Linked DNA regions of Pelodiscus sinensis. The protein of the gene in region 2 interacts with the protein of the main gene of each other region in a biochemical or structural test. Links are inferred from orthologs where the notes say so. Each region holds a gene or a part of one and is shown on either strand. Other genes may lie near its edges. The genes, in order: NCOA6, HNF4A, NR0B2 and SREBF2.

Region 1 (7,733 bases), about 7.8 Mb from region 2:
GGTGTCAACTCGGTATCTTACTCAGATTTTTATTTACCTCACAAGGCTTACATGGACAGTATCCAGGACAGCACAGAGGTTATTTATTGAAATGTAACTGCAGTTCCACACTTTTAAGGCCACTGAGAGTTTAATCTAATTTTAGAAATGCCTGATTTTCAAGATATTTTGGGGTTTTTTTTAAAGGGAATAAATAACTATACTCATCAGATTTAACGCTATGATTATCATGTAAGCAGCAAGGTTATTGCAGGTAGTTCCTCCCCTGTGAGTTCTGCCACCGAGCAAGTTTTTCAGACAAAGCATAACTGACCATAGGAGCAGCAACTGCAAGTCTCTCCACTGGGTAAGTCTGAAATCTGCTAAGGGACACTTTTTAATTCCCAGGGGGACAGTGAAGCAGTGAGCAGAAGCCTGAGTGAGGTGCAGAAATCATGAAATATGACCTTAATAGCAAAAGGTAGGATCAAAGTATTATCATGAAAAAATATCATTGTAAAACCAGGTCATTCTACGTTAATATTAAAAGGAAGCAGTATGGTTCAATTGATTAGGTAGTAACCTAAGTAGTCATGAGATTCATGTTTTATTCTCAGCTCTGCTATGAATTTGCTGTGTGTAACTGTAGACAACTAGCCCAAAAAGATTAAAAGCAACCACTGATTTTGGATGCCTAATTTGAAACATCTACTATTTTCCTGAGATATTAACACACACAACTCCACATGAAATCCATGGGACCACAAAGTGCTCACCACCACAGGTGAACAAAAACAATGAAGAAATAGACCATATGTGGTTAAATTTGACCAACCAAAATTTGTTGTTTGCATAAATAGAGGACACTTTTGATCATTTCACTCTTTGTGGCCCATTTATCTGAAGAAGTGGGTCGTGCCCATGAAAGCTCATGATACTACCTATATATTTTTTGCGAGTCTCTAAGGTGCTGAAGGACTAGGGATGTTAAATATTGGTTAATTGAATAGTCAAGTAACCTTATGAATTTTTATCGGTTAGTCAACTATTCTATAGTACCCAGAGGTGGTTCCAGCAGCCACTGTATCAGAGGCAGCAGTGCGGGCAGGAACTGGTCCATGAGGGGAGCCAGTTTAAAAATCAGCTCCCCTTGTAGACCGGCTGCTTGTCGCCCAGTGCTGCTGCCTCTGATAAAGAGGCAACAGTGCAGGGTGAAGCAGCCCCTGTTTAAGGGAGGGTCTGAGCTCCTGGACCTGGTGTGAGCCAGAACTGAGCCAGCCTGCTGGCCAGCCTGCTAAAAAAATTACTGGCAAGGGTGGGGGAAGGGAAACGTGTGAAGTCTGTAGCATTAACCTATAAGCGTTTAACTGGTTAATCGACTACACTATTAAATCCCTATGCAGGACCTTTCGTTATTTTCCCCATCAGTGAAGGATGAAGAATGATGCTTGGGTCCTGAATCCCTTTGAAATATCACCTCTGTAAAGATACAATGAAAAATACTCATGAGGGTTTAATAGCATTATGATAACAGATGGAGTTATTTCTATAACTGAAGCTCAGATAAGACTGTCCCTTTAAACTTTAAGTTGCAGCTTAACTAAGGTGGGAAGTGGGTTGTGTGTGTGCAATACACAATTTTAAAATCCAGACAAGGCTCACAGGACTAAAATTAACCCTGTCATCTTGGCTTAACTTCTACAGCATTCTTGTAATTTACATTTTGCAGTTTACTCTCAAAACCAGAAAAGGTAGCACAACTGGCCAGGCAAGACACCCCTATGAAATCAAAGCCACTGTTCCCTGTAATCAAGTCTCTTAACACAGTTGGTGTTTTAAAAAATAATGCAGACTTCACAATAAGAGGACACAAAGTTGCTCAATTTATTTTAAAAGGGCTGGAAGAGAACACAAATAAACCTCTGACATACTGCCTGCATTTGTTCAAAATCAGAAATAGGAAGGATAGTTGATCAAATAAAATAGTTACAGGATCTTCCAGTTTCCCATACATGACAGAGCCTATGACAGAACCAAAAGGAGGACATTGGATCCGAGTTGAACAATCCACACCATCTTAGCAGTGCTACATTCTTTGAAATGGAAGTATGACTATGAACCCTCTAGCCAATGCAACATTCAATACCCTCCTATTAAACTGGGATGGATCCCGTTTAAGGGGTCCACAACTACAAAGTGCAGACATGAGGAAGCCAGTGTGCACAAGATTCACCAAGGCAGCACGCAAGAGCTCCAGAGCTATGTTCAGCCCATACAGGGAATGCTGGGAAGTGACAAAGGTCTTCATCTCTCGGGGGGCTGGGTCAGACCTAGGCGAGCTGCTCATGGGACTAACTGAGCCAAGGAAATCAGAGGTTTCTCTTTGAATAACATTATTCGGCCCGCCTGGCTGCAGGAGGCATCGTGAGAGCAAAGGTGCGGGCCCTGCTGGGCGGGGTGCCGGGGGGGCTGCCATCCAGGCAGGGACTTTCGACCCCCCCCCGGGAGGTGGCACGGGAGCCCCGGGGACATTCAGCCGGAGAAAGGGGCCCGCGGCCCTTTGCCAGCCCCCCCCCCCAGGCACCTGGCCCCCGCCCCCGGAGGACCCCACCCCGCGCAGGGAGAGCCCAGCCCCGCGAGCCGCCGCCGCCAGGCCCGGGCGGGCACCCGCCCCCACGCGCCAGGCCAGGCCTCGCCCCCCCCGCGGGAGCCTGGGCGCCCCCGCGCTCCCCCCGCCGGCCGCGCTCCCCCCCCGCCCCCAGCCGGCCCGGCCCGCTCCGTGCCCGGCCCCTGCCCTCCCCGGGCCGGCCCCGCTGACCCGCCCCCCCCCCGCCGGGCCCGAGCCCCCCGCCCGGCCCCGCCCTCACCTGGGCAGCCGCCGCCTCGGCGCCGGGCTGAGAGCCGGCCTGGGCCCGTCGCACCGGGGGGGTCGGCCCGCTCCCTGCCAAGCGCCCAGGACACCGCAGCAGCCCGGCCGCGGCTCCGCCTCCTGCAGACACGTGACCGAGCGGGGGCGCGACCGAGCCCGGGCAGCGCGCGCGCCCCCGCCGCCGCCACAGGCCGCCGGGCCTGCCTCTGGGCGCGCGGGGAGAGGCGCCCCCCCCCGTGCGCGGGGGGACAGACTGACCCCCCCGCGCCTCCCCGGACACACACTGACCCCCCCGCCCCCCCCGGACACAGACTGACCCCCCCCGCTACCCCCCGCCCCTCGGACACAGCCTGACCCCCCCCCCGCTCCCCGGACACAGACTGACCCCCCCCGCGCCCCTCTCGCGCCCCGGACACAGACTGACCCCCCCGCTATCCCCCCGCGCCCCGGACACAGACTGACCCCCCCCCGCTACCCCCCGCCCCTCGGACACAGCCTGACCCCCCCGCCACCCCCCCGCGCCCCGGACACAGACTGACCCCCCCGCGCCCCTCTCGCGCCCCCCGGACACAGACTGACCCCCCCCCGCTGCCCCCCGGACACAGCCTGACCCCCCCGCTACCCCCCCGCGCCCCGGACACAGACTGACCCCCCCCCCCGCTACCCCCCGCCCCTCGGACACAGCCTGACCCCCCCCCCGCTCCCCGGACACAGACTGACACCCCCCCCGCGCCCCTCTCGCGCCCCCCGGACACAGACTGACCCCCCCCGCTACCCCCCGCCCCTCGGACACCCCCCCGCTACCCCCCCGGACACAGACTGACCCCCCCCCCGCGCCCCCCGGACACAGACTGACCCCCCCCGCACCCCCCCGGCCCCCCGGACACAGACTGACCCCCCCCCGCTACCCCCCGCCCCTCGGACACAGCCTGACCCCCCCGCCACCCCCCCCCGGACACAGCCTGACCCCCCCCCCGCTACCCCCCGCCCCTCGGACACAGCCTGACCCCCCCCGCTCCCCGGACACAGACTGACCCCCCCCGCTCCCCCCCACCCCACGGACACAGCCTGACCCCCCCGCCACCCCCCCGGACACAGCCTGACCCCCCCCCCGCTCCCCGGACACAGACTGACCCCCCCCGCTCCCCCCGGCCCCCGGACACAGCCTGACCCCCCCGCGCCCCCCGGACACAGCCTAACCCTCCCGCGGCCCCCGGACACAGCCTGACCCCCCCCACGCCCCCCCGGCCCCCGGACACAGCCTGACCGCCCCCCGGACACAGCCTGACCCCCCCGCGCCCCCCCGGCCCCCGGACACAGCCTGACCCCCCACGCTCCCCCCGGACACAGACTGACCCCCCCCGCTACCCCCTGCCCCTCGGACACAGCCTGACCCCCCCGCTACCCCCCCGGACACAGCCTGACCCCCCCCGCGCCCCTCCCACGCCCCCCCGGACACAGACTGACCCCCCCCGCGCCCCCCGGACACAGACTGACCCCCCCCCGCTACCCCCCGCCCCTCGGACACAGCCTGACCCCCCCCGTGCCCCTCCCGCGCCCCCCCGGACACAGACTGACCCCCCCCGCACCCCCCGGCCCCCCGGACACAGACTGACCCCCCCCCGCGCCCCCCGGACACAGACTGACCCCCCCGCTCCCCCCCAGACACAGACTGACCCCCTCGCTCCCCCCCGGACACAGACTGACCCCCCCCGCACCCCCCGCACCCCCCCGGACACAGACTGGCCCTTCCGCGCCCCCCCCCCCGCCCCTCGGACACAGCCTGACCCCCACCACTCCCCTCCGGCCCTCGGACACAGACTGACCCCCCCCCGCTCCTCCCCCGCCCCCTCGGACACAGCCTGACCCCCCGCTTACCCCTCCATAAGAACGGCCGTACTGGGTCAGACCAAAGGTCCATCTAGCCCAGTATCCTGTCTACCGACAGTGGCCAGCACCAGGTGCCCCAGAGAGGGTGGACCGAAGACAATGATCAAGTGATTTGTCTCCTGCCATCCCTCTCCAGCCTCTTACAAACAGAGGCCAAGGACACCATTTTATCCCCTGGTTAATAGCCTTTTATGGACCTAACCTCCATGAAATTATCTAGCTTCTCTTTAAACTCTATAGTCCTAGCCTTCACAGCCTCCTCTGGCAAGGAGTTCTATAGGTTGACTACACGCTGTGTGAAGAAGAACTTTCTTTTATTAGTTTTAAACCTGCTACCCATTAATTTCATTTGGTGTCCTCTAGTTCTTCTATTATGGGAACTAATAAATAACTTTTCTTTATTCACCCTCTCCACACCACTCATGATTTTATAGACCTCTATCATATCCCCTCTCGGTCTCCTCTTTTCTAAACTGAAAAGTCCCAGTCGCTTTAACCTCTCCTCATATGGGACCTGTTCCAAACCCCTAATCATTTTAGTTGCCCTTTTCTGAACCCTTTCCAAGGCCAAAATATCTTTTTTGAGGTGAGGAGACCACATCTGTACACAGTATTCAAGATGTGGGCGTACCATAGTTTTATACAGGGGCAGTAAGATATTCTGGGTCTTATTTTCTATGCCTTTCCTAATAATTCCTATTTGCCTTTTTGACCGCCGCTGCACTCTGTGTGGAAGTTTTCAGAGAACTGTCCACGATAACTCCAAGATCTCTTTCCTGATTTGTCGTAGCCAAATTAGCCCCCATCATACTGTACGTATAGTTGGGGTTATTTTTCCCGATGTGCATTACTTTACACTTATCCACATTAAATTTCATTTGCCATTTTGTTGCCCAGTCACTCAGTTTGGTGAGATCTTCTTGGAGTCCCTCACAGTCTGCTTCTGTCTTGACTATCCTAAACAGTTTGGTATCATCTGCAAACTTTACTACCTCACTGCTTACCCCTTTCTCCAGATCATTTATGAATAAGTTGAAAAGGATTGGTCCCAGGACTGACCCTTGGGGTACACCACTAGTTACCCCTTTCCAATCTGAAAATTTACCATTTATTCCTATCCTTTGTTTCCTGTCTTTTAGCCAGTTCTCAATCCAAGAAAGGACCTTCCCTCTTATCCCATGGCCATGTAATTTACATAAGAGCCTTTGGTGAGTGAGCTTGTCAAAGGCTTTCTGAAAATCCAAGTATACTATATCTACTGGATCCCCCTTGTCCGCATGTTTGTTAACCCCTTCAAAGAACTCTAACAGATTAGTAAGACAGGATTTCCCTTTACAGAAACCATGTTGACTTTTGTCCAACAAATTATGTTCTTCTACATGATTCACAATTTTATTCTTTACTATTGTTTCGACTAATTTGCCCGGTACTGAAGTTAGACTTACTGGTCTGTAATTGCCAGGATCGCCTCTAGAGCCCTTTTTAAATATTGGTGTCACGTTGGCTACCTTCCAGTCATTAGGTACGGAAGCCGATTTAAAGGATAGGTTACAAACCACAGATAATAGCTCAGCAATTTCCCATTTAAGTTCTTTTAGAACCCTTGGATGAATGCCATCTGGTCCCGGAGATTTGTTAACATTAAGTTTTTCTATTTGTTCCAAAACCTCCTCTAATGACACTTCAATCTGGGACAGTTCCTCAGATTCATCACCCACAAAGGACGGTGCAGATTCAGGAATCTCCCCAACGTCCTCAGCCGTGAAGACTGAAGCAAAGAAATCATTTAGTTTCTCCGCAATGGCTTTATCGTCCTTGATTGCTCCTTTTATAGCTCGATCATCTAGGGGACCCACAGGTTTTTTAGCAGGCTTCCTGCTTCTAATGTACTTTAAAAACATTTTGTTATTTCTTTTTGAGTGGCCCCCCCTGCTACTCTGTGTCCGGCCCCTCGGACACAGCCTGACCCCCCCCCCCGCCCCTCGGACACAGACTGACCCCCCCCTCGCTACCCCCCTCGGACACAGCCTGACCCCCCCGCAACCTCCCCAGCCCCTTGGACACAGACTGACCCCTCCCGCTACCCCCCCGCCCCTCGGACACAGCCTGACACCCCCGCTACTTCCCCCTCAGACACAGCCTAACCCCCTCCCGCTACCCCCCCGCCCCTCGGACACAGCCTGACCCCCCCCCGCTACCCACTCACCATAGCCTGACTGCCCCCCCCCCGCTACTCCCCGCCCCTCGGACACAGCCCTTGGACACAGCCTGACACCTCTCTTCCCCCCCCCGCCCCGCTACCTCCTCACCACAGCCTGACCCCTCCATGCCCTTGGCACAGCTTGACCCTCCACTGGAAGCCCCCATGCCCTTCGGACATAGCTTGATCCCCACCCTCTGGGAGCCCCCCAGCTTCAACCCCCTCTGGGAGCCTCACGTTCACAGGGCAGAACCTCACCCCATCCCACTGCGAGATTTGGGGCATCCCCACAGGAAAACACCTCACCTCCCCAGTGAATGTAGAAGATACTCTCTCATCTACCCACTGGCACCCCTAGAGGAGAAATTCATCACTCCATCCCTGATTGAAAGAGTCTGGGATGCCCCCTCCTCAGCATCAGACATTCTTTGGGTTGGGGGACCTCCCTTCTAGCTACTTGGGTGGGCCCCTCAATTCCCCACAGTGGGGAGGAACAGGAAGGAAGATTATTATTCTTTTCAATGGAGATTGCATCACTCCAGAGCCAGCTCCATTCACCCACAAAAACGCCCTCCCTACACACACCACCAACTCCCAATCCTCTGCTCCCAAGGGAAGCACTTTCCCTTTCACTGAAGCCTGAAATTGAGAGATTCCCAACCATCTTTGCTGAGAGGTCTGCACCACCAATCCCTTCACTCCCAGTCTGCCAGACTTAGCAATAAAACCCACATTAAAAGCACTACTCACCCACACCAATGAGTGATAGAAATGTAGCCGAGAGTTATAAGATCA
Region 2 (7,374 bases):
AAAAAGCTCCAGTGAATTCAGTACAAACTAAAATTTCATACTGACAATGACTTGTTTATACTGCTCTATGTAAATACAATATTCATATTCCAATCTATTTTATTATTATATGGTAAATTTGGGAAAGGAACCAATTTTTCAGTACTAGTGTACTTTTGTATTTTTATGTCTCATTTTGTAAGCAAGTAGTTTTTAAGTGAGTGAACCAGAGCGGGTGGAGGTTTACATAAGACAAATCAGTCTCCTGAAAGGGGTACAGTAGTCGGGAAGGTTGAGAGTCACCATCACTAAAATATTCTCCATTATAGCTCAAAGATCCCAAAGTATGATACATCAAGAAGATGGAAGCTGTTCAGATAAATTGACTGGGTCACTAGAAGACTGTTTCTAGGGCACATTTCCTACTGTGTCTGAACAAACAAACTTCTTGAAAGAGAAAAGTCATAGGAAATGAAGTTGGTACTTTCCTCTTTTCCCCACAGGCCCTGTTGCATGGTGCTCAGCTTGCTACAGCTTTAAAAATCAGGGCTGCCCCTGTAGAATTTTCAGAGGGATAGCCAAGTTAGAATTCTACCCCTGTAGAGTTTGTCAGCCATCTCTGTTAAAATGTATTTAAGCAAACTCAGGAAGGTCTACTCTGGCGCCACAAAGCTTCAACAGGCTTTCTGTGCCTTAGAGGTTGTGATGACTTCCCACGGATGAGAGGGGGTTCAATACATGGGATAGATGGGACAAGTTGCTGGAGCTGGCAACCGTGTTAGGAAGGCAGGAGCCAACTCACGCTTCCTGCATTAGGAAGGCAGGATAAGGTACTTCCTGAAGGAAGGGTGGTGGGGTGGGTTCCGGAGTGGCTTAGGGGATAGGGAATTCACCTGGGGAGGGCGGGGCTTGGGGGCTGGACTCCTGCCTCTCTCCCCACAACTTGGGAGCAGCTGAACAGCCAGTACAGGCTGCTACCGGGGCTGGAGCTGACATGGAAGGGGCTTTAAGCTTAGCAGTAAAGTTTGGGCCCAGCTGTAAAACTCAATATTGGCAGCTCTGCAAAGTCAATTGGTTCCACCCAACTCAAGGAGATGGAGTGTGAAGGAAGCTCCCATTCTGCTAATCCCACTGCCCTACGTCCCTTGAACTCTCCAAGCCAAACTCCTCAGCCTGTCACAGTACTGGCTTGGGACCAAGACTCAAAACAAGGGCTGAAGGGGTGACAGTGGAGGAAGGACGTTTCAGGGTTGTGGAGTTAGTTTTCATACAAACCCTATTATGTTCTCTCTCTCTCTCCCACTCATTTCCCCCCAAGTAGCCCCTGGGCAGAGGCTGGGAATTTAATAAGCCTTTCCCACCTCTAGCTGTCAGGTTTGCTGACATAGCATTCTTAGCCAAGGTACGAGGCACAGCATTGGAGAAGGGAGCTCTTCCTACAGGCACTTGATGCAATGAACAACCCTGGTGCAATTAATGGGAGTTACAGTCCATGCCCCACTCCAGGCAGCGTACACCCGCCGCTCAGGTCTGCTCTCTCTGGGGAGGCTGACACCATGGAGTGCTGGGCAGAGGACAATAAATTTACACGGGCAGCCCAACTCTGTCTAGATGCTTTGTAGCAGGAGAAGTTTGTCCTGCAGCCACAACGAGACGCGATCAGTGGCAGGATTTGTCCCCTAAAAGCTGTTTGTGTCTTCAGAGCAGGCTCATGCAAAGGGAGCTGACCTAGGAGCAGGGACATCATTATGGTAGCTCTGAGAGTTAGTTAGTCGCTTTCTGCAGCATACTGAGCTTAGCAATTAACCCAGTATCTAGGCAGGAATGGGGGGGAGGGAGAAGGAGGTTGGAGAGGAATTGTCATTGATTAAGTCTTGAGCATCTAATAAAAATGAACCCGCATAAGTTCCAAATCGGAACCAGTGGGACCGTGTTGCAAAACCCAGTAGAGCTTCTGTGATCCTTCCCAGGGTGTGTGAGCAGGAACGTGTCCCAGCTGTGAGTTACACGGATACTATTTCCAACTGAGGGACCCAGCCTTCCCCTCTGAGCCTCTTATGCATTTCATTGCCATCCCACAGGGTTCAAGGTATCTATGGTCCCTCTGTTGTAGAGAGAAACGCCAGGCCACCTGCGTCCATGAAACATGCACCCAGTGCAGCGCTTTATAATGAAGAGAGATCTGCCACTCCCCATCCCTCTTGGCCCAATCTACAGCTCCTCTCCATGTGGAGATATCACTTTAAGCCCAGTTACAAGCTGCATGATGTGACACACTGAAATCTTCTGGGGTTTTCATTCATTTCACTCCTCAGGCGGCTGCTCTCTGTCCTGGTTCACTCTTCCAACAGTATCTCTGTCAAGCCCTGGGAAGTTCCTTACTCTGAAGCCCTGCCTAGCAAGGAGGTAAAGCACCTTCATTCTGTATTTTCCCTTCCTTTGAGGCAGGAGTTTGTGGGAAACACTGGCTGTCCGCTGAGGCCCCCAGGCCTTCCGGGGCCAGATGCTGAGCAGGAACATTCTGGTCTATTCAGGTTCTTATACAACACCCACCACCTTGGTCCTGAGCTGTTGTCACTGAGTCAGTTCAAGTGCAACATTAGTCAAACAGAGACACTTCTCTACAGAAACGGGAGAATTCCCCTTCTGACTTGGTGCTTTCTCCCCCTCTGCCCTCCACACCAGCTACATGCCTGTTGCCAGGCACTGGCTAGCCTTGCCACCGATCCCACCTTCTCCCGGCAAGAGCAAACCCAGAGGCAGACTTACCGTTGCCCATGGCCAACACCTGCATGTTCTCAAATTCCAGAGTGGTGTAAGCTGGGTCCAAAGCTGCGCTATAATCTGCCATCTCCATGTCTATCAGGGCTTTGGAAAGACGCATTATCATCAGCAAACACGGGCCAGATTGCAGCGATTCCCTTGTCGGAGGTTATTGGCCTCGCAGCCTCCTGCTGCCTTCACTGCGTCCCCTATCTGTTGTCTTTTATTTCAAATATTTCTCTGAAAGGATTTGCTGAGCTTCAAGGCCTATACTCCCCAGAGGGGTGGAGGCAGGAGGTAGGGGGGTTAATCTTTAATCATCTCACCCACTGGTGAATGCTAAGCTGGATTTTTTTTTTTTTTTTGGTGGGGCAGCAGCGATTTTGTTGACTGTTTATTATTGAATCTACATACACTTTGCTGATTTCAGCTTCTGGGCACATACTGGGGTGGCAGCGCTTAGAGAGAAGAGCATTCTCCATGAGTGTAGTACATTCGCTGGGCTATTGATCTTGACGCTTAATTGTTTTATTATTGGTCTTAATTTTAGTTGAATTGTAAGAACTTGTAAAAACTCTGCCTGGAGAACAAAGTTCTAGCCGTATTCCTCCCCTTCACTATCCTCGGGCTTTTTCTCCTTCTCTTACCCCACACTGCTTGCTTTCTTTTCTTTTCTTTTCTTTTCTTTTCTTTTCTTTTCTTTTCTTTTCTTTTCTTTTCTTTTCTTTTCTTTTCTTTTCTTTTCTTTTCTTTTCTTTTCTTTTCTTTTCTTTTCTTTTCTTTTCTTTTCTTTTCTTTAACCGGAATTGCAATTTACACATGGTAACAACAGGGGACTTTCATTTTACTTCTCTATAAACCAAGTTTTACAGGGCCAGACCTCACTATAAACACTTCTCACTCCACAGCCTTTCCCAACAGCTTCAGGGGCAGATTTTCAGAAGAGCCAGGCACACAAAGGTACCTGTCAAAGGTGAGCACAAGTGTGACTGTAGTTGCATTGTGAGTGCACAGTGGATTAGGCATAAAATTGCATTGACTTTTTATTATTTTTGGTGCCCAAACTTTTTGAAAAATCTCCCCCTAGAAAAAGAGCTCATTTTCCTGTATTCAGTTTTCAAGGATCAATCTGAAAAATCCTCCCTGTGTGTTTGTGTTTTAAAAATCTCACCAGACATCTTACAATGCAACATAACTTTGTCCTGCAAGTGTCTTTCTTATCTACTATAGCACGCAACACATGCTATAGAGTTAAATCTTGATCCAAAGCCCACTGAAATTAGTGGGAGATCTTCTATCAGCTTCCATGGGCTTTTGATCAGACCTTCAGATAATACAGGACAGTAAGAATGCATGTTACAAATGTCAGAAAATGGAGTTGCACTTTATCTGACTTAGTCTTGGCCTCATCTGGTGTTTGAGGGCTTTATGAGACGACAGTTTATCCAGTATGTGGCAGTGGGTTGTATAATTCACTGTAATTTCCATTGCATAACATCACAAGCCCAACAAGTGGTAATCAATTTATCACTGAACAGCATCAGCTGAATTGCATCGCAAGGCCAGTAATTAATTATTAGTGTCAGTTCTCATTGTAATAAAAAACATCCCAGTTTATTTCTCAATCAATGCAGGGCGATTTAGTCTACAAACTGCGAGTTAATGGCCCTGCACTAGTTTTAATCACACTTCACAGGCATGCAGGAAAGACTAGGTCATGCTGAATCCAAAAGCCTTTGCTGATATGAATGGCTTCCCTATCACAACTCAACACTGAAATTCTGGGGCCTCCAACTCAGAAATGGTGCAGGCTGGTGGGTTTTGTTGCTGGACATATGAATGGAACATCATGGTTATGACCTGAGCATGGAAAGAGCTCAGTAAGCAAAGTCTGTGTCCTAAGATACTTAACAGTCTATACAGAAGGCATAGACATCACCTATACTCCAAGGCTACTGTTGTATGATCCATTCGCTATCTTGCTTCAGCTTAGTTACTGGAGGTATGGGAATCATAGAATACTAGAACTGGAAGGACCTCAAGAAATCATCCAGTCCAGGCCCCTGCCCTCATGGCAGAACCAAGTACCATCTAGGTCATTCCTGATAGATGTTTGTCCAACCTGCTTGTAAATATCTCCAGAGATGGAGATTCCACAACCTCCCTAGGCAATTTATTCCAGTGTTTAATTGCCCTGACAGTTAGGAAGTTTTTCCTAATGTCCAACCCAAACCTCCCTTGCTGCAGTTTAAGCCCATCGCTTTTTGTCCTGTCATGAGAGGTCAAGAAGAACAGTTTTTCTCCCTCCTCCTTGTAACACCCTTTTGGATACCTGAAAACCGCTATTATGTCCCTTCTCAGTCGTCTCTTTTCCAAACTAAACGAACCCAGCTCTTTCAGTCTTCCCTCATCGGTCTTGTTTTCTAGACCTTTAATCAGTTTTGTGGGAATGTGGGAAAGTCCCACATTCCTTTCCTGGGATTGATGTCTAGAGTTCCTTTCCTGTAGTGGGAGCTGGGTGATGGTTAAAGATGCAAAGGAATCCCCTCTGAACTCACATGGCTGGTATATCACTTCCCCTTCAACAAGGAGAATTCTGAGCCAGGAATTCGTTTGTTTGAAACAATGTGTGTGAGTGGGGGTGGTAGAACACAGCCCCTTAACAGCCTCATTCCTGGGACCTCAGTTCCAATCCAGGTTTGGCCAGAGTGATCCCTTTGATTAGATAAATGCTGCAGACACTAAGTCAAATATGTGCAGGATTTGCCATAGTGTCTAGTAAAATATCATAAAAGCATGGCCCATTTTGCTCAGTTCAGCAAAACAAGTCTTTGTTCAACTAAGCTGCTGACTAAATAAGACTGAAATACTTGCTTACTCCCATAAGGTCTGGCGGACGTAGGTCAGGGAGGATTAAGAATGCTAGGAATAGAAAACGAAGAGATGGATGTGAAAGAGGAGAGAGAGAGTGTGTGTGTGCGGGGCGGGGGGCAGGGGAGGAGATGTTATGGGGAATTAGGCAGCAAAAGAGGCTGGGAACTGCCAACAGGACAGAGGAGCCTTTCACCTTTAGGTTGGCGGTGATAGCAATCCACCACTCCTGTTGTTTTCCATTCCGTTCCTAGTGTAGAAGGCCTAAGTCCTCAAAGGCACCTAACTCCCATTCACAAACCCCTTGTCGCAGCAGGGCAGCCAGACACTGACTGGGACAAGGAAATGACACACTGCCTGCACCCTCAAAGATGGTCACAGCAAAGCAGGGTTGGGGTACTCTACTGGGAATGATCGATTTTGCTCCCATCAATAATACACCATCCTTGACATTAGTCAAGCTGCCCATGCACCAGGCTAATACGAGAGGATTCTTCTCTCCCTCAGATACCGACAGCTTCTCTAGTGGGAGTTTAGAAGAGGCTCCATTGACAAACCGTGGTAAATTGGCCCCTGTATGACAGCATCTTTGAATGACATATCCTGGGCTAAGCACACGGACTAGCAGCAGTGAATGGGTGGAGAGAGACTCCATAAAACACTATTTAATGAGCAAATCTTCTTTGCCTTTTTAGGCGGATTTGAATTTTTCTGCCCCACTTAGCAGAGGTGTCCCTTTTAGTACCAGTCAGACGCAGGGACAAATTCTGGTCTCAGTGGTAAAAATCCAGAGGAAATCCACTGACTTCAGAGGAGTAAACCATACCGGGGCTGACCCTCGGCCTTTTGAAGTCACTGGAAATATTCACATTAACTTCAATTGGTCAGGGATCAGGCCCATTAACACCAGTGCAGCTGAGAGGAGAATTTGGCCCAGTTTTAGCAAGTAGCAGCAGCTGGATGAAAGAAGGCAGAAGTTATGGAGAGTGGAAGGGTGGAGTCTGGGTCGACCAATGGGTGTCTCCATGTTCTGTCCTGGTGGTGAGAGTCCCAGTGAATGGTAGCCCCACATACACTGATCAGGACCCCAGATGGAATCCAGTTGGATACAGAAACTTCCTCCCTCCAATATATCTCCCCACCCACCTTCCTAGCAGTTCAGACTACGTGAGACAGCTAGAATTGGAAATGGCTAGAATTCCAGGAACTGGCGTGTTTTATGCAGAGGGCAATCATCTGATTTTTATCAGACAAGCAGTAAATCCTGCTGTGTTTTGCCTCATACAAGGCTGACAGGAGACTAATCCTGCCTGCCCGGTATACAGATGCTCACGCCTGGCAATTCCACTGAGAGAAAAGAGGATTCTCCGCAGACGAGATATGCAGCTCATTCAATGAGGAGTAGGATAGAGGGCAATTAAGAAAGAGGCATGGGAAGGATATCATCACCTATAGGTCCCTACCAAATTCACTGTCCATTTTGGTCAATTTCATGGTCACAGGAATTTAAAAATCATGCATTTCATGATGTAAGAAATGTCATGATGTTATAATTGTAAGGGGCCTGTCCCAAAAGCAGTTGTGTGTGTGTGTGTGTGTGTGTGTGTGTACAAGCTTATTGTAGGGGGGAGTTGCTGTACTGCTCCCCTTACTTCTGCACTGCTGCTAGCGGTAATGATGTCTTTAGAGCGGGGCAGCTGGAGAGGGGCAGCTGTGTTCTGTTCTTGGCACATTCAGGCTGTGTCTATACTGCACCCCTTT
Region 3 (6,931 bases), on a different chromosome or scaffold from region 2:
GGTGGTCATTCTTATGGGTACAGCATATCAAGGATAGGACTCAATGACATGAGTGACAAACATAAATCAGCCATATAGGACGGGCTTGCCAAGTGGCGGCGAGCCTCGCTCACCAGCTGTGCGCTGCACATGCAGACCATGTGCTGACCGTGCTGTGCGGCCGTGCTGTGGCGAGTAGATTATGTTAATTGTCAAGCCCTGCATATAGGTACTAATATATGTAATGCAGTTGTAGCTGGGATAGTCATTAGAGCATTACAGAGACAAAGCAGGTGTGCTGATAGCTTTTAGTGGACTCTTAGAATCATTCCTGGACTTGTAAAAGAGTATGGCTCCAAAGCTGCTTCTCTCTCACTAAAAGAAGTTTGTCCAAGAAGAGATTACCTCACCCAACTTGTCTCTCTAATACGGATACTCAGTATTTTTTATATTACATTTATATTACATTTTTATATTACAATTTCAACAAAAAGGGGATGTAATATAAAAAGTAACACCAGTGTGGATTTGTTCATCTTGACTGTCTATAAGGGTTCATGTAGGTTAACAGCACCATATCAATCAACTATATATTGAGAGTATGTGTCTGTCTCAGAACTCCTCCTAAACGGTAAGAGCTAGGACTACCAAATTTGGTATACGGCTTCCTCATATCATAACTTAAAGCACAGTAAAAGTTTGGTTGTGCCAGGAAAATGGGATGGGCCTGGAATGGGGTAGCATCTCATAAAAACATACAGAAAAGAGACAAATCACCAGAAAAGTGAAAGAGGCTGGCTGGGGGCATTTGCCCTGTCCAGGATTGCCACAACACTGAGCCTCCCACCCCTCAGGCATCCTTTAGAGAGGATGGGAGGAAGGGGTGAACCACGTCCCCCAACTCATACGGGACAAGGGAATGAGAATGGTTAATCAATTCATTAGTGGGGGCCGGAGCTGTTCCTTGCCCACTACAGGCAGGGGCTGCTCCGTCCCAAGGAGCCCAGCACGGGTGGGGAGTGCTCCTACCCAGCAGGAGCAGCCCAGCGACAGAGAGCCCACCCTGGACATGCCACAGGGGCACCCAGGCCTGGCCAGAGCAGCCCCTGTTGGCGGCAGAGGAGCTGGAGCGCCCCCACCCCCACTGCCGGTTAACCGTTTAAACACAACGTTAGCCAATTACATGGGGTTTTACATCCTCACGTGCGGGACGTTGCCAGCTGCTTCCCTTGGTCAGGGAGCGGGGGGGGGGGGGCAGTTTGCTGCAGCCCGCCCCAGAGCACGCGCCCAGGCGCTGGCGGTGTCTCAGAGCCCCCCCAGGCCCACGCAGGCCCGGCACAGAGCAAGGGGGGGGACGGCCGGGAGCGGGCGTTACCAGCCCCCCCCCACGCAGGCCCGCCACAGAGCGGGGGGGGGGCGGCCGGGAGCGGCCGCCACCAGCCCCCCCCCCACGCAGGCCCGGCACAGAGCGGGGGGGGGGCGGCCGGGAGCGGGCGTTAACAGCCCCCCCCCCACGCAGGCCCGCCACAGAGCGGGGGGGGCGGCCGGGCGTTACCTCCCGCACGCCGCCCTGGTGCTGCTGGGCCATGGCCAGGAGCATCCCGTCGAAACGCTCCTCCTGCTCCGCCGCCTCCGCACTCGGCCCCATCCTTGCCCGCCGCCACCGCTGCTCCCGCGGCCTCAGACCCTCACACCGGAACCGGAAACCCAGCCACCGCCCGCCAGCCAATCCTCGCGCCCCACGGCCCCCTCCCCGCTCGCTGATTGGCTGGAGCCGCGTCCTGTCATCGGAAAGGAGGCGGGAGTTCCACGCCGGGTTCCGCGCGTGGCGTTGGTTTCTATGGTGACCGGCCGCGTCCGGGGCCTTCCAGAAAAATCGGCGAGGCCGCGTGGCCCCGAGTGGGTAGGGAGTCAAAGGTCAGGTGTTATGGGGCATATCCACGTGGGGTGGGAGCCCTAGGACGGGTTGGGGGGGGGGAGGCCTATATTGGGGTCAAAGGGCGCGATGCCTCGGAGGGGTCAAAGGGCAGGAACCACGTGCCTCAGTGATCAAAAGGGGGGGACCCTCGTGGGAGCCCATATTCTTGGGGGGGGCCTCTGCCAAGGGAAGGCTGTGGGGGGAGGGGCACCAGGCGTCCTGCCAGGCCTCTTGGGCAGGGTGGCCAGGCGTGGCACCAGGGCTTCTCAGTCGCCCTCGGCGCCGCCCGCGTGCAACCCCGGGCATCCCAACCACACCGGGGAAGCTGGCTCTCTGCCGCTTATGGGCACCCAGATGGCTGGGGCAGAGCCTGCCTGCGGCGGGCAGGAGGGAACATCCTGTCCTCCAGAATCACTGTGGAAAACACCAGCGGCAGCACACGGGCCCCAGCGGAGGCACCCACCTCAAGGGTCAAATGCGCTCACCATAGTCATTTAAGGCAATGATTCTTAACCCTTTCCATGCTGCTGCTGTTAGTAACCCTCCCTGGTCAATATCATGCAGAGAGACCAGTAACCTATTTAGATGAACCTATTCACATTACTAAAATTACACTGTTAACTACTGGGAGAAGGGATCTGGAAGCTAGTATTTTCCTAAGACTTTCCATAGTTGGGTGATCTCCACTGGGAACTTCTAGTGACTGAAAGTTCCACTTGGCGCTACACTGGGTTCGTTGATGTTTTCTGCTTCTTTCTAAACATGTAGGCTACGTCTAGACTGGCATGATTTTCCGGAAATGTTTTTAACGGAAAAGTTTTCAGTTAAAAGCATTTTCAGAAAAGAGCATCTAGATTGGCATGGATGCTTTTCCGCAAAAGCACTTTTTGCAGAAAAGCGTCCGTGCCAATCTAGACGCATTTTTCCGCAAAAAAGCCCCGATCGCCATTTTCATGATCGGGGCTTTTTTGTGGAAAACAAATCTGAGCTGTCTATACTGGCCCTTTTGCGCAATACTTTTGCGCAAAAGGACTTTTGCCTGAACGGGAGTCGCATAGTATTTCCGCAAGAAGCACTGATTTCTTACAGTAGGAAGTCAGTGCTGTTGCAGAAATTCAAGCGGCCAGTGTAGACGGCTGGCAAGTTTTTCCAGAAAAGCGGCTGATTTTCCGGAAAAACTGGCCAGTCTAGACACAGCCCTCTTGCCACCTGCTTTCCTCCCACTCATTAACTTGCCTTCCAGACAGCCTGGCTCTTCCTTCCTGCCTGTTCTTTAGAATCAGGCTCCATGATCCTGGAGGGGTAGGGGTTTCAACTAAGTGACTTCTTCCTGCCCTAGAAGTTCCTCTGAGTCACGACACTCCTTGAAGCATGAAGACATAAACATCCATGTATGAACAGTATGATGCATCTAACCTGTCTATAAAACTGATGAAATCTCCTAGGAAACAAGGCAAAAAGTAAAAAGGCCCCATACGTCCGTGTTTCCCCCCTCCCTAAAACACACAAGATACTTGAGGCCCCAGCCTCCATCTGCTGCCCTTTGTAGTTCATTAGGTTTTTTTTTTCTTTATCTGCAACAACAGCAGCCTGTTGTCAACAAGGTTAAACAAACAACCTGCTGATAAAATGACTTCCAGGTTGCTCTTTCCAAGGCCAGAGTTTACAGGCTGTTTTGCTACTGGTCTCTTGCTCCAGACAAGGTCTGTGTGTGTGTGTGAACTCTTTGGCAATGACACCTGTCATATAGCATTGCATGATTACACACCTGGGGCCTTGGTGCCATGGTACGGGCTGGGTTAATGACTTTGTTTATACTGTTGGGTAATCCAGATAAGAAAGCCACTCAATCTGCCATCCCATCCCATCCTCCTGGCCCTAACTGGCACTTTCATTGAGAAAACCTTTATCTGCACCAGTGGAAGCTCCACTTCCCCAGCCAATCAGTACTGAGTTGAGTTGTTTTTCAATGAACGGTGCTTAGTTAAAGAGAGGTCAAGGCTGCTAAGGGGGTGTTTCACTTAGAGTCTTATAAATAGAGCCAGGAATAACAGCCAAAGGTATAAGAGAGGTGACCGACCTGGGAGCAGCAGGCTGCAGTCAGAGAGCTTTGACTGATACAGCAGCCTTTGCAAGGGACCAGGCGTGCTCACAGATCCACCCAGCCAGGTGCACAAGAGTCTCATCCTCCTTGGGACCTGACGGGATCCACTGGCCAGGCTCAGCAATGACTACATGCAGCATGGATCTGGACTATGAGAAATGCCAGTGCCACAGTGAGGAGAACCAAAATGCCATCCTCTACGCCCTCTTGAGCCAGAACCTGAACCACAACTGGGGCAGCCACAGCCCATCCCAGCAGCGCTGCCTGTGCCAGAAGCGTCGCACCGTCAGCCTCCGGACACCTCAGCTCACCTGCCAGGCAGCCTCAGATGTCCTTGTGAAAACAGTCAGCTTCATGAAGAACCTTCCCTCCTTCCAGCTGCTGCCTCGGGGGGACCAGCTGCTGCTTCTGGACAGCTGCTGGGCTCCACTCTTTATTCTGGGGCTGGTTCAGGAGATGGTGACCTTTGAGGTGATGGAAACCCCAGCCCCGAGCATGCTCAAGAGGATCCTTCTCGATGGCCAAAGGAAGAGACAGGAGCCTGAGAGGGCACAGCCCACCTTAGCTGGCGTGAAGAGGCTACAGTGCTGCCTGAACACATTCTGGGGCCTGGACCTGAGCCCTAAGGAGTATGCCTATCTGAAAGGAGCCATTCTCTTTAACCCTGGTGAGTGCCGAACCCTCACACCCCTTTCTGTTGGCAGGGACAGATGGCACGTCACACAAGAGTATCTAGCAATGAATAGCTGTCCATCCATCCAGGGAGCTCAAAGCTCTTACAAGCTAAGGATATTAAATATCGGGTAATTGACTAATTGAACAGTCAATGCATTTTTGCATCAACTGTTCAATTAGTCGATAGGGTGCCTCTGCCTTTGAAGCGTAGCAACAGTCGTTGCTTAAATTTGACACTTTACGACTGGGCCTCAACAAAGATGCTAATTATCTTACCCATTACGAAGATAGCTTCCCCAATTATCCCCTCTAATATCATTAGCTCACAGACATTAACCTCCCGCCCTCATCCCCCTTCTGTTCTGAAATGTGATTTGTCCTTTCTATATGTGTTCGCTTTTTTTGATTGTATCCCTTTGGTATATATGGTCATGCCAATTTTCTTCCACAATTTGATCTGAGAAAGTGGGTCTGGCCCATGAAAGCTCATCACCTAATAAACCATCTTGTTAGTCTTTAAAGTGCTGCATGGTCCTGTCTTTTGTTTCAGCTAGACCAGACTAACACGGCTACATCTCTATTACTAAGCTGGATGTAGTATCCCTATTTTAAAGACAGGCCAACTGAGGCACAGAGCATTTTCAGGGCTAATTTTCAGCTGTGCTGAGCATCTCCAGTTCCCATTGACTTTTGGAATTCAGGCTGTTAGTGACTTGCCCCAGTTGGTCACTTGCTTTAACTCACAAACCTTGGAGTCAACTGTGCTGATAGGGGTGGCTTATTAGTTTCGCAGTCTCTCAAACCCTAACCAGGGTTGATTCAGTTCTTCCTCTTTTTGAAGCAAATAAACTAAGTCCTATATAGTTTATTGTGATGGAAGGGACTATTTTAATCAGATTTTAAAATTGCGGTCTTGCATACCCTTCAGCAAAAAGAGGATCTCAGAGCATGTTTTTCTAGAGCTGCATTTTGCCCGAGCTGTATTGGTCAATATTTTTCCTCCCTTGATGTGTTACACACTAATAATGAACTGCTGCTCTCCACCTCAGACGTGGCTACGTTTCAGAGATGCTGCATATCTATAGCTAGTACTTTGGGATCCTCATATACTATGAAATGTAAGGAAACATGTTTATTTATCTGCCTGTGCCGGTGTGCAGGCAGTAGAAAGAAATCAAATTTGATTGTGAATCACTAGCAATAGCGGTGAACAAGCCTTCAGCAGAGGCACATGCAGGATAAGAGCCTGGGCCTGGGGCATAGCTTGGGAAGCAGAGGCTAATTTTCATTTGTATTTCCTGTTGTTTCTCTTTCCATAGATGTCCCAGGTCTCAGAGCCTCTCTGTACATCGAGAGCCTCCAACGGGAAGCACAGCGAGCGCTCCGAGAAGTCCTAGTGCCCCTGCACCCAGAAGACCAGGGCCGCTTTGCCCGCATCTTGCTGATTGCCTCCACCTTGAGATCCATTCCTCCTGCACTTATCACAGACCTCTTCTTTCGACCCATCATTGGCAATGCAGACATTATTGAGGTGATCACAGAAATGCTGTATGAAATAACCAGCCGGCGACTGACTCTTTCGTCACACACAGCCTCTTGAGAGATCACATTCAGGGCCACCCTCACATGCGCCTCCTGAGCACTGAGTTGAGTTTCAAGGGACAATAACATTAATATGATGTGGGGATTTGGTGGGAAAGATACTGTGGACTTTCAAACACACCTGGTTTTGTGTGTGTATTTCACTTGGGCTCAGGCAACAGCTTCAGCAGTTGAAAAGTGCAGCTAAGCCACATTCTAGAACATAGCTCTTATTTATTCAGCCCCTGTACAAACTGAACTCATAAAGCCAAATCATTTCTGAAGTGTGTGTGATTTTACTATTTCACTGCACAGTAAAGTAGAAAAAAAAGCATGGCCAATGTCCTTGAAACAGTCCTTGCAAAATAAACCTCTGGGCTGACATTTTCCCTAGGAAATATGCAGATCAGAGAAGCACTTCTTTGAGAAAGGAGGAGATTGAAGCCAGGGCTTTGTACAGAATGGAGTTTCCCAGTTTTACATGATAAAATTTCCAGAGAAAGACTCTGTTACATACACACACACACTCACAATCTGATTTTTAGATGGGCTCAGCACTCAGTCAGCCTTTTAGATGTTGCTCAGCACCTCTGAAAACAGGCCTGCAATAAATGATGGCTGTGTCTACACTGGCAAGTTATTCCGGAAAATCAGCCGCTTGAATTTCCGGAAAA
Region 4 (6,877 bases), on a different chromosome or scaffold from region 2:
GACAGACCCATAGACTCCTATAGACAACCACCTAACCTCAAGATGATTCTTACCAACAACCACAGGACATACCACACTAATACCAACCCTGGTACCTTCCCTTGCAACAAACCCCATTGCCAGCTTTGTCCACATATTCACTCTGCTGATACCATTATTGGACCTAACCAAGTGAGTTATAAGATCAAGAACACATATTCCTGCTCATCCAGAAATATAATTTAGGCTATCGTGCCGAAAGTGTCCGTCTGCTATGTTCATTGGACAGACGTCTCAGACACTTCGCCAAAGGATCAATGCCCACAAAACAGATATTAGACAGGATCACAAAGAAAAAACAGTTTCTTGCCATTTCAACCAGAAAGGACATTGTCTCAACGACTTGATTATCTGCATCCTGCTTCAAAGATCTTTTCAGACCACACTTGAAAGAGAATCCTCTGAACTGTCATTCATGCTTAAATTCGACACTTTACGCCTAAGTTTAAACAAAGACATGAATTATCTTACCCATTACAAAGATAGCTTCCCCAATTATCACCTCTAATATCATTAGCTCACAGACATTTATTTCCCCCGCCCCCATCTCCCTTCTGTTCTGAAATTTGATTTGTCCTTTTCATATGTGTTCATTTTTTTTAATTGTATCCTTTGGTATATATGGTTGAGACAATTTTCTTCCACTATTTGATCTGAGGAAGTGGGTCTGGCCCACGAAAGCTCATCACCTAATAAACCATCTTGTTAGTCTTCAAAGTGCTACATCGTCCTGTTTTTTGTAATGAGGAAAAGAGGCTGGAGAGATGGCTGAACAATGATTTGAAGAAGGATGCCTGGCAGATAAGGATATGGAGTTAGTAGGAAAGAAGGAGACAGAGCTGGGGGCTGGGAGAATAAATGCAGAAAAAAGGAGCAGTAAAGTTGGGAGGTTTGGGAAGAGTTTAGATGGTGGGTGGATGCGTGGGGAGTTGCTAAGGGAAAGTGAGAGCAGAGGTGTAGGTGGAGAATTACATAAGGCCTTGCATATTAATATGGGCTTGAATTGGATGTGTTGAGGCAGGAAGCCACCACAAGAATATGAAGGTGGCAATACGGATCAGAGGGAGACACAGATGCTATTATGGTGGTATTTTTAATGTTACAACAATAAGGGCATGAACTGTCCATAGTTTTAACAGTGAGAACAGGAAGGGAAGAGTGGATTCTGGTGATAATTAAGAGGAAGAAATGACAGGACTTAACAAGAGCTTAAGTGATAGGTGTGTTCTAGGGAATATGAAGGAAAAGATCAGAGGCAGCAAACTGACTGTGGTTGGGCTCTATACAAAAGGGGTCATGTCATCTCAAAAAATATATTGGAATTCGTTCCAAAAAAGGCAACGATTAGGGGCATGGAAAGGCTTCCATATGAGACAAGAATAATGAGACTGGATCTTTTCAGCTAGAAAAAGAGATGACTAAGGGGGGGATAAGATAGAGGCTTATACAGTCATGATTGGTGTGGAGAAAGTAGATAAAGAAGTGTTATTTACTCATAACACAAGCACTAGAGGTCAGCAGGTTTAAAACAAACAAAAGGAAGTATTTCTTCATGCAACACATAGTCAACCTATGGAACTCCTTGCCAGAGGATGTTGTGAAGACCAGGACTTTAACAGGGTTCAAAAAAAGAACTAGATAAATTCATGGAGGATAGGTCCATTAATAGCTATTAGCCAGGATGGCGTCCCTAGTCTCTGTTTGCCAGATGCTGGTGTAACCCACACACCTCATGTGGTTCTCTGTTCCATGCTGTGGCACCTAGACCACAGCAACAGATAAGACCAAGAGACCTCTACAGCATGGACTGGGAGCCAGCTGGCTTTTAGCTCAAAGGATAGAGGCTCCTATACTAAGCTTCAGAGGTCCTAGGTTCAAATCTGCCTGGTGGTGGTTACACTGGGTATGGGTGACAGAGGATGGATCACTTGATGATTACCTGGTTCTGTTCGTTCCCCTCTGGGACATCTGGCATAGGCCACTATCAGAAGGTAGAATACTGGGCTAGATGGACCTTTGGTCTGACCCAGTGTGGCCATTCTTGTGAAGCATGAGAATGATGAATTAGCCTGAAGAGGAGCTGTCTCAGAAAGGAACAAGATATGCCTGGAGAGCTGGGATAAATGAGTGATTCATTCAGAATATGAAGTATTCGGCAGTGAAGTAAGGGAGCCTGAGCCTGGAAAGAGGTTTTTAACTGTACAGAGAATGTATATTTCAGGACCTACAGGAGGCTCCTGTGGAATGCACAGAGACCATGTGAAGCACAGGCAACTGCATGAAGCTTGTTTAACCTTAACCAATAAGGGTCTAATGTTCTTATTTTTCTCTAGTGTAACTCTCAATGGACTCTTACTTCTAAAATAAATCCATCCCCAAAAATCAGAGAGATTGGCTTTAAAATAATAAGAATTAAAAGAAAAACTGATTTCTGGTTTCTGAGCCTCTAGGGCCTAGGCACACTCAGGCAGGGATGCCAGCTTCCTCATTTTCCCAGGGGTGCTCAATTCCTGTTCAGCATCAGGCCCCACCCCTGAGCTTCCTCTTTCTGCACCCTCTCACTCTACCCCCTCCCTCCCAGCACCTCTAGTACATGGCTGTTTGGGAGGCACTGGGAGGGAAAAGATGGACCAAATTGGCAGGGCTGTTAGTGGGTGCTGACAACCCACTATTTTACCTTGTGGGTTCCCAGACCCTGGACCCACAGAGTTGGTTCTGTGGACTCAGGTCACATGTGCAAGATTTTGGGTACATCTAGACTACAGGCTTTTGTCGACAGAAGTTTTGTCGACAGATTCAGTCGACAAAACTTCTGTCGACAAAGAGCGTCTACACTACATTCAGTTCTGTCGACAAAGCAAGCTGCTTTGTCGACATGGTAGTGTAGACGCAAAGGACAGTTTACATGCAATAACACCTTCTGTCGACAGAAACTCTGTCGACAAAAAGCGTTATGCCTCGTAAAATGAGGTTTACCAGCGTCGACAAAACTGCTGAGTTCTGTCGACGTTATGTCGACAGAACTCAGCGGTAGTGTAGACGCAGGTATAGTTTTGTCGACAAAAGTCCACTTTTGTCGACAAAACTCTGTAGTCTAGACACACCCTTTGTCTGCAATCTTTTGCATATGAAAGCTGAGAGTCTCAGGTAATCACATGCCTCCAGGATCTGGAGCAGTAAGTAAAACACCAAATCTGGTAAGACCCATAAAATGCAGAGAATTGGCAACAGCTAGACAGCTGGCTTGACCGGAATGACTCTTCATGTGGCCTAGATTTCACTGCATTGTCTTGAGCAGCTTAGCCTGGTGCAAGCACCCCAAGCTGGTGCTGCACTGATAACTCCCTGCATGAGGGCAGGCTCCTGGGCCAAAACTACCCTCTTGTCACTCCACTGGGGGCCTGACTTGGGACTTGTGAATGCTTCAGGTTGGCAATAGAGCTGTGCCCCTTGCCATCCCTATCCCTCATCCCCCCCATCTTCCCCGTCCCCCCTCATCACCATGTGCATTGACTACCCCGCCCTGTCCCTTGCCAGCCCCGCTCCCGCTGCCCTCACCCCCCTCTGTCACCGCGCCTGATACCCACCCCCAGCCGCCTCGCCCTAGCCCACGAGTCCTCCCGGCTCTTTACATCCCGCCTCGGGACATTGAATAACCAGCATTCTGTCCCCGCCCCCCTCATGAATATTCCACCAGGGAGAGCTCGGCCTCGTATGCTAATCCTAGCTGCTGATCGGTGACGTGCTATCACACCACGAGCCGCCTCGCCCGCTGATTGGCCGGCGGGGACCTGGTCTCATTGACAACAAGGCGAGGAAGCGCGCGGCCCGGGCTCCTGGCACGCAGGTGGGGGCGGGGCTGTCCCAAGATGGCGGCGGCGGGCGCTGGGAGCCGGAGCTGAGGCGGTGCCCGGCGGGGGCGGGCGGAGGCGCCGGGCGGGGGCGGCCCGTGCGCGGACACGCGATGGAGAGCCGCGAGCCGGCCATGGAGGCCATGGAGACGCTGACCGAGCTGGGGGACGAGCTCACGCTGGGGGACATTGACGGTGAGCGCGCGGCTCTGGGGGGGCAGCGGGTGCCCGGAGCGCGCGGCTCTGGGGGGGGGGGCAGCGGGTGCACGGAGCGCGCGGCTCTGGGGGGGGGGCAGCGGGTGCCCGGGGCGCGCGGCTCTGGGGGGGGGGGCAGCGGGTGCCCGGAGCGCGCGGCTCTGGGGGGGGGGGGGCAGCGGGTGCCCGGAGCGCGCGGCTCTGGGGGGGCAGCGGGTGCACGGAGCGCGCGGCTCTGGGGGGGGGGGGCAGCGGGTGCCCGGGGCGCGCGGCTCTGGGGGCGCCCGGCGTAACTCGCTCGCGGGGCGCGGCAGCCGCAGCGGGGCAGGGGTGAAGAGGCGAACGAGCCGCATCCACGGGCCGGGGTGTGAGCTCGGGCCGGGGCGCCCCCACGCCTCTGTGCGCCGCAGCCGGGCGGCTCAGGCTGTAATTGCCACGGCCCGTGCGCGTTTCTTGGCCGGCTGCTGTTCTCTCCTGTTCCCGCATGCTGTGTGCAGCGGGTGCTGATGTGTGCCCCGGCCGTGCCCACCTCGCTTAGGGGAACTGCTGTGTACGCCCAGAGGTGCTGCTGATGCGCTGGGCTGTGCTGCTGCTGGTGCCCTCAGCATGTGTGATTTCAAACTTTTGCTCCCCTCTCCTCCCCCCTTTTTAAGGAACGTAGTCAGTGTATGGCCAGCTTGTGGCCCCACCTGCAGAGAGCCTTGTGCCTGACCCCATAAGCCTGTGTCTTTCCCCGCAAAGTATCTGGCAGAGGAATGAAATGTGTGGTGTTCCCTAATGCCCATATAGTCATTCTGTGTCCATGCACTCTGGAGTGTGGAGCATAGATGTGATGTACATGGGACAAGCCTGTGATCACCTGCAAAGTATCTAGCCAGATAGAATGATGGGATGTGTGTGTGGGGAAAAAACTGCACCTTTAGTTTTGTCAGTTCCTTCAATGATATGTGTGGTGCGGCCACCCTCAGAGCCCAAGATATATATGCCTAGATAACATTTATGTACCCACCTGCTGTAATGAAACTCTTCCCTCCTACCCCAAGCAGACATGCAACAACGTGTGTTCTATTCTTTGGTCTTCCCTTGATGTGCCTGCAGCATCTTGTGTGTGTGTTCCTGTGAAACAGTATTGACATGGTATGGCTAGCACTGTAGCTGCACCATAGAAATCTGCTTTATCTTAGCATCATGGGTTTGTCTGAGTTCGGGGATTTCCTTAGGAGTTAAATATGTGCCTGCTCACTTTCTTCCTCTATCCCTGTAGACCATGTTGTTGTATTAGGAGTGTGTAGAATATCCCAAGAAGCATCTATATCTGTCAGTTTTAGACACTTAGGGCAGGTCTACACTGTGGGGCAAAATCAACCTAATTTGCACTACTCCAGCTATGTTAATAGCATATCTGGACATGCCCTACGGGGTCTCCACTCTGGAGGGTCAACAGGAGAAACTTCCATAAACTTCCCTTGTGTTTTTGTTTCCACTGGAATATTGGTGTTGGGGTGTGTGTGTGTGTGTGTGTGTGAGAGAGAGAGCTTGCGAGAGCGTGAGCAAGCGAGCAATAGGCAGTTGATTTAGTGGGTCTTCATTAAGCCTGCTAAATCAATCTCTGGGGGACCAATCCCCACAGCGCCAATACCTGTAGCACTGATTCCCCAGTAAGCGTAGACAAGTCCTTATTTAAGAATTTGCAATGTGGAACTCTCCATCTAAAAATGCTACTACTATGATGCATGGGAGTAGTTGTGTCACTTGATGAACAATCCTGTTTAACTTGTACTCCGTTTTTTTTAAGTGTTTTTAGAGGGAATGACTCACTGTGGGTGGCTCTTAAATGCTGTGCTGCTTAGTGTAGGTTCCATAAAAACCTATATGGAACATAAATTTGGACTTCCCTGGTCCAGCACCCTTGAGAACTGACTGGTCCCAAATGAGGGAATTTTCTGGAACAAGGGAGGTGACTGCCGGCCCTTCTGCAGCTGGTCTCTGGGCTCTCAGGGGGCTGCCAGCTTCCCACCTCATGTCTGCTCCTTGCCAGTGACTCCCAGGTTCCCCTTCCAGCCACCAATCCTGCTGTTGTCCCTGGTTGGGATACAAAATCCCATTTAATCAGCATTGCACTGGGCTGCTCCAATTGGGCTGGGGACCGCCTCAGGCAGGGGGCTGCTCAAGCCCAGCCAGTCCACTGGTAATGCTTATGGGTTAACTTGACATTCTTAGTTGGGCACCCAGCTTCCTGCCACCAGTCTTGCTGACCCAGCTCTGCTTCTAGCCCTGGCCCTGATCCTGACCCCTCTGCCACTAGACTCCCAGCCAGCCCCCTCCCGCCTGCCAGGGTTCTCTGGTCCAGCAATATTCAGGGTTTGTTACAGGGCCAGACAGGTTCAACTATATTAGAATAGTGCCCTTTTATTCTGGGGCAGATGTTCTGTCCCATGTCTAGTTGTTTTTTCTAGTTCTTGCTTTCGGCTTCTTGCCAGTACTATCCAGCAGTAATAGGGAATAAAAATATCTTCCTTGACTCAAAGAAATTAGAGATGGAAGAGCCCAATAAAGTCACATTTTGTTTCCCTCAGCCCCACCTTTGATGAAATCAGGATTTGGCTGTTTCCAGCAGCATATTCCCCAGGGCTTTTTCCAAGTTAGTTTCAAATGACCCATGTGATTTAGCTTCCATTACTAGGAGAGGTTATTCTATCGATCATGTACCTTACTCTTAAGGAAAGTTTCCCTTTGCTCAGTTTCATCCTTTTGTGCCTTGTTACATCTCTTTGGATCACTCAACATTTCCA

Evidence for each region.
Region 1: the proteins of HNF4A (region 2) and NCOA6 form a complex in vitro, tested with the Homo sapiens proteins (2 studies listed by BioGRID). The link is inferred for Pelodiscus sinensis from reciprocal best matches to the Homo sapiens genes HNF4A and NCOA6.
Region 3: the proteins of HNF4A (region 2) and NR0B2 form a complex in vitro, tested with the Homo sapiens proteins (4 studies listed by BioGRID). The link is inferred for Pelodiscus sinensis from reciprocal best matches to the Homo sapiens genes HNF4A and NR0B2.
Region 4: the proteins of HNF4A (region 2) and SREBF2 form a complex in vitro, tested with the Homo sapiens proteins (2 studies listed by BioGRID and IntAct). The link is inferred for Pelodiscus sinensis from reciprocal best matches to the Homo sapiens genes HNF4A and SREBF2.

Annotation. Positions count from the first base shown.
Region 1 is NC_134728.1:30,852,638-30,860,370, reverse strand, and holds the start of NCOA6 (nuclear receptor coactivator 6), read right to left. Parts: upstream 3,015-7,733; 5' UTR 2,847-3,014; intron 2,416-2,846; exon of another isoform or gene 2,297-2,415; intron 1-2,296. UniProt on the Homo sapiens protein: Nuclear receptor coactivator that directly binds nuclear receptors and stimulates the transcriptional activities in a hormone-dependent fashion. Coactivates expression in an agonist- and AF2-dependent manner.
Region 2 is NC_134728.1:23,050,219-23,057,592, reverse strand, and holds the start of HNF4A (hepatocyte nuclear factor 4-alpha), read right to left. Parts: upstream 3,017-7,374; 5' UTR 2,870-3,016; coding exon 2,749-2,869; intron 1-2,748. UniProt on the Homo sapiens protein: Transcriptional regulator which controls the expression of hepatic genes during the transition of endodermal cells to hepatic progenitor cells, facilitating the recruitment of RNA pol II to the promoters of target genes. Activates the transcription of CYP2C38.
Region 3 is NC_134735.1:2,378,528-2,385,458, reverse strand, and holds the start of NR0B2 (nuclear receptor subfamily 0 group B member 2), read left to right. Parts: upstream 1-3,915; 5' UTR 3,916-4,124; coding exon 4,125-4,668; intron 4,669-5,995; coding exon 5,996-6,276; 3' UTR 6,277-6,931. Other genes in the region: nuclear migration protein nudC, read right to left, coding at 1,535-1,627. UniProt on the Homo sapiens protein: Transcriptional regulator that acts as a negative regulator of receptor-dependent signaling pathways. Specifically inhibits transactivation of the nuclear receptor with which it interacts.
Region 4 is NC_134711.1:88,818,881-88,825,757, reverse strand, and holds the start of SREBF2 (sterol regulatory element-binding protein 2), read left to right. Parts: upstream 1-3,876; 5' UTR 3,877-4,003; coding exon 4,004-4,085; intron 4,086-6,877.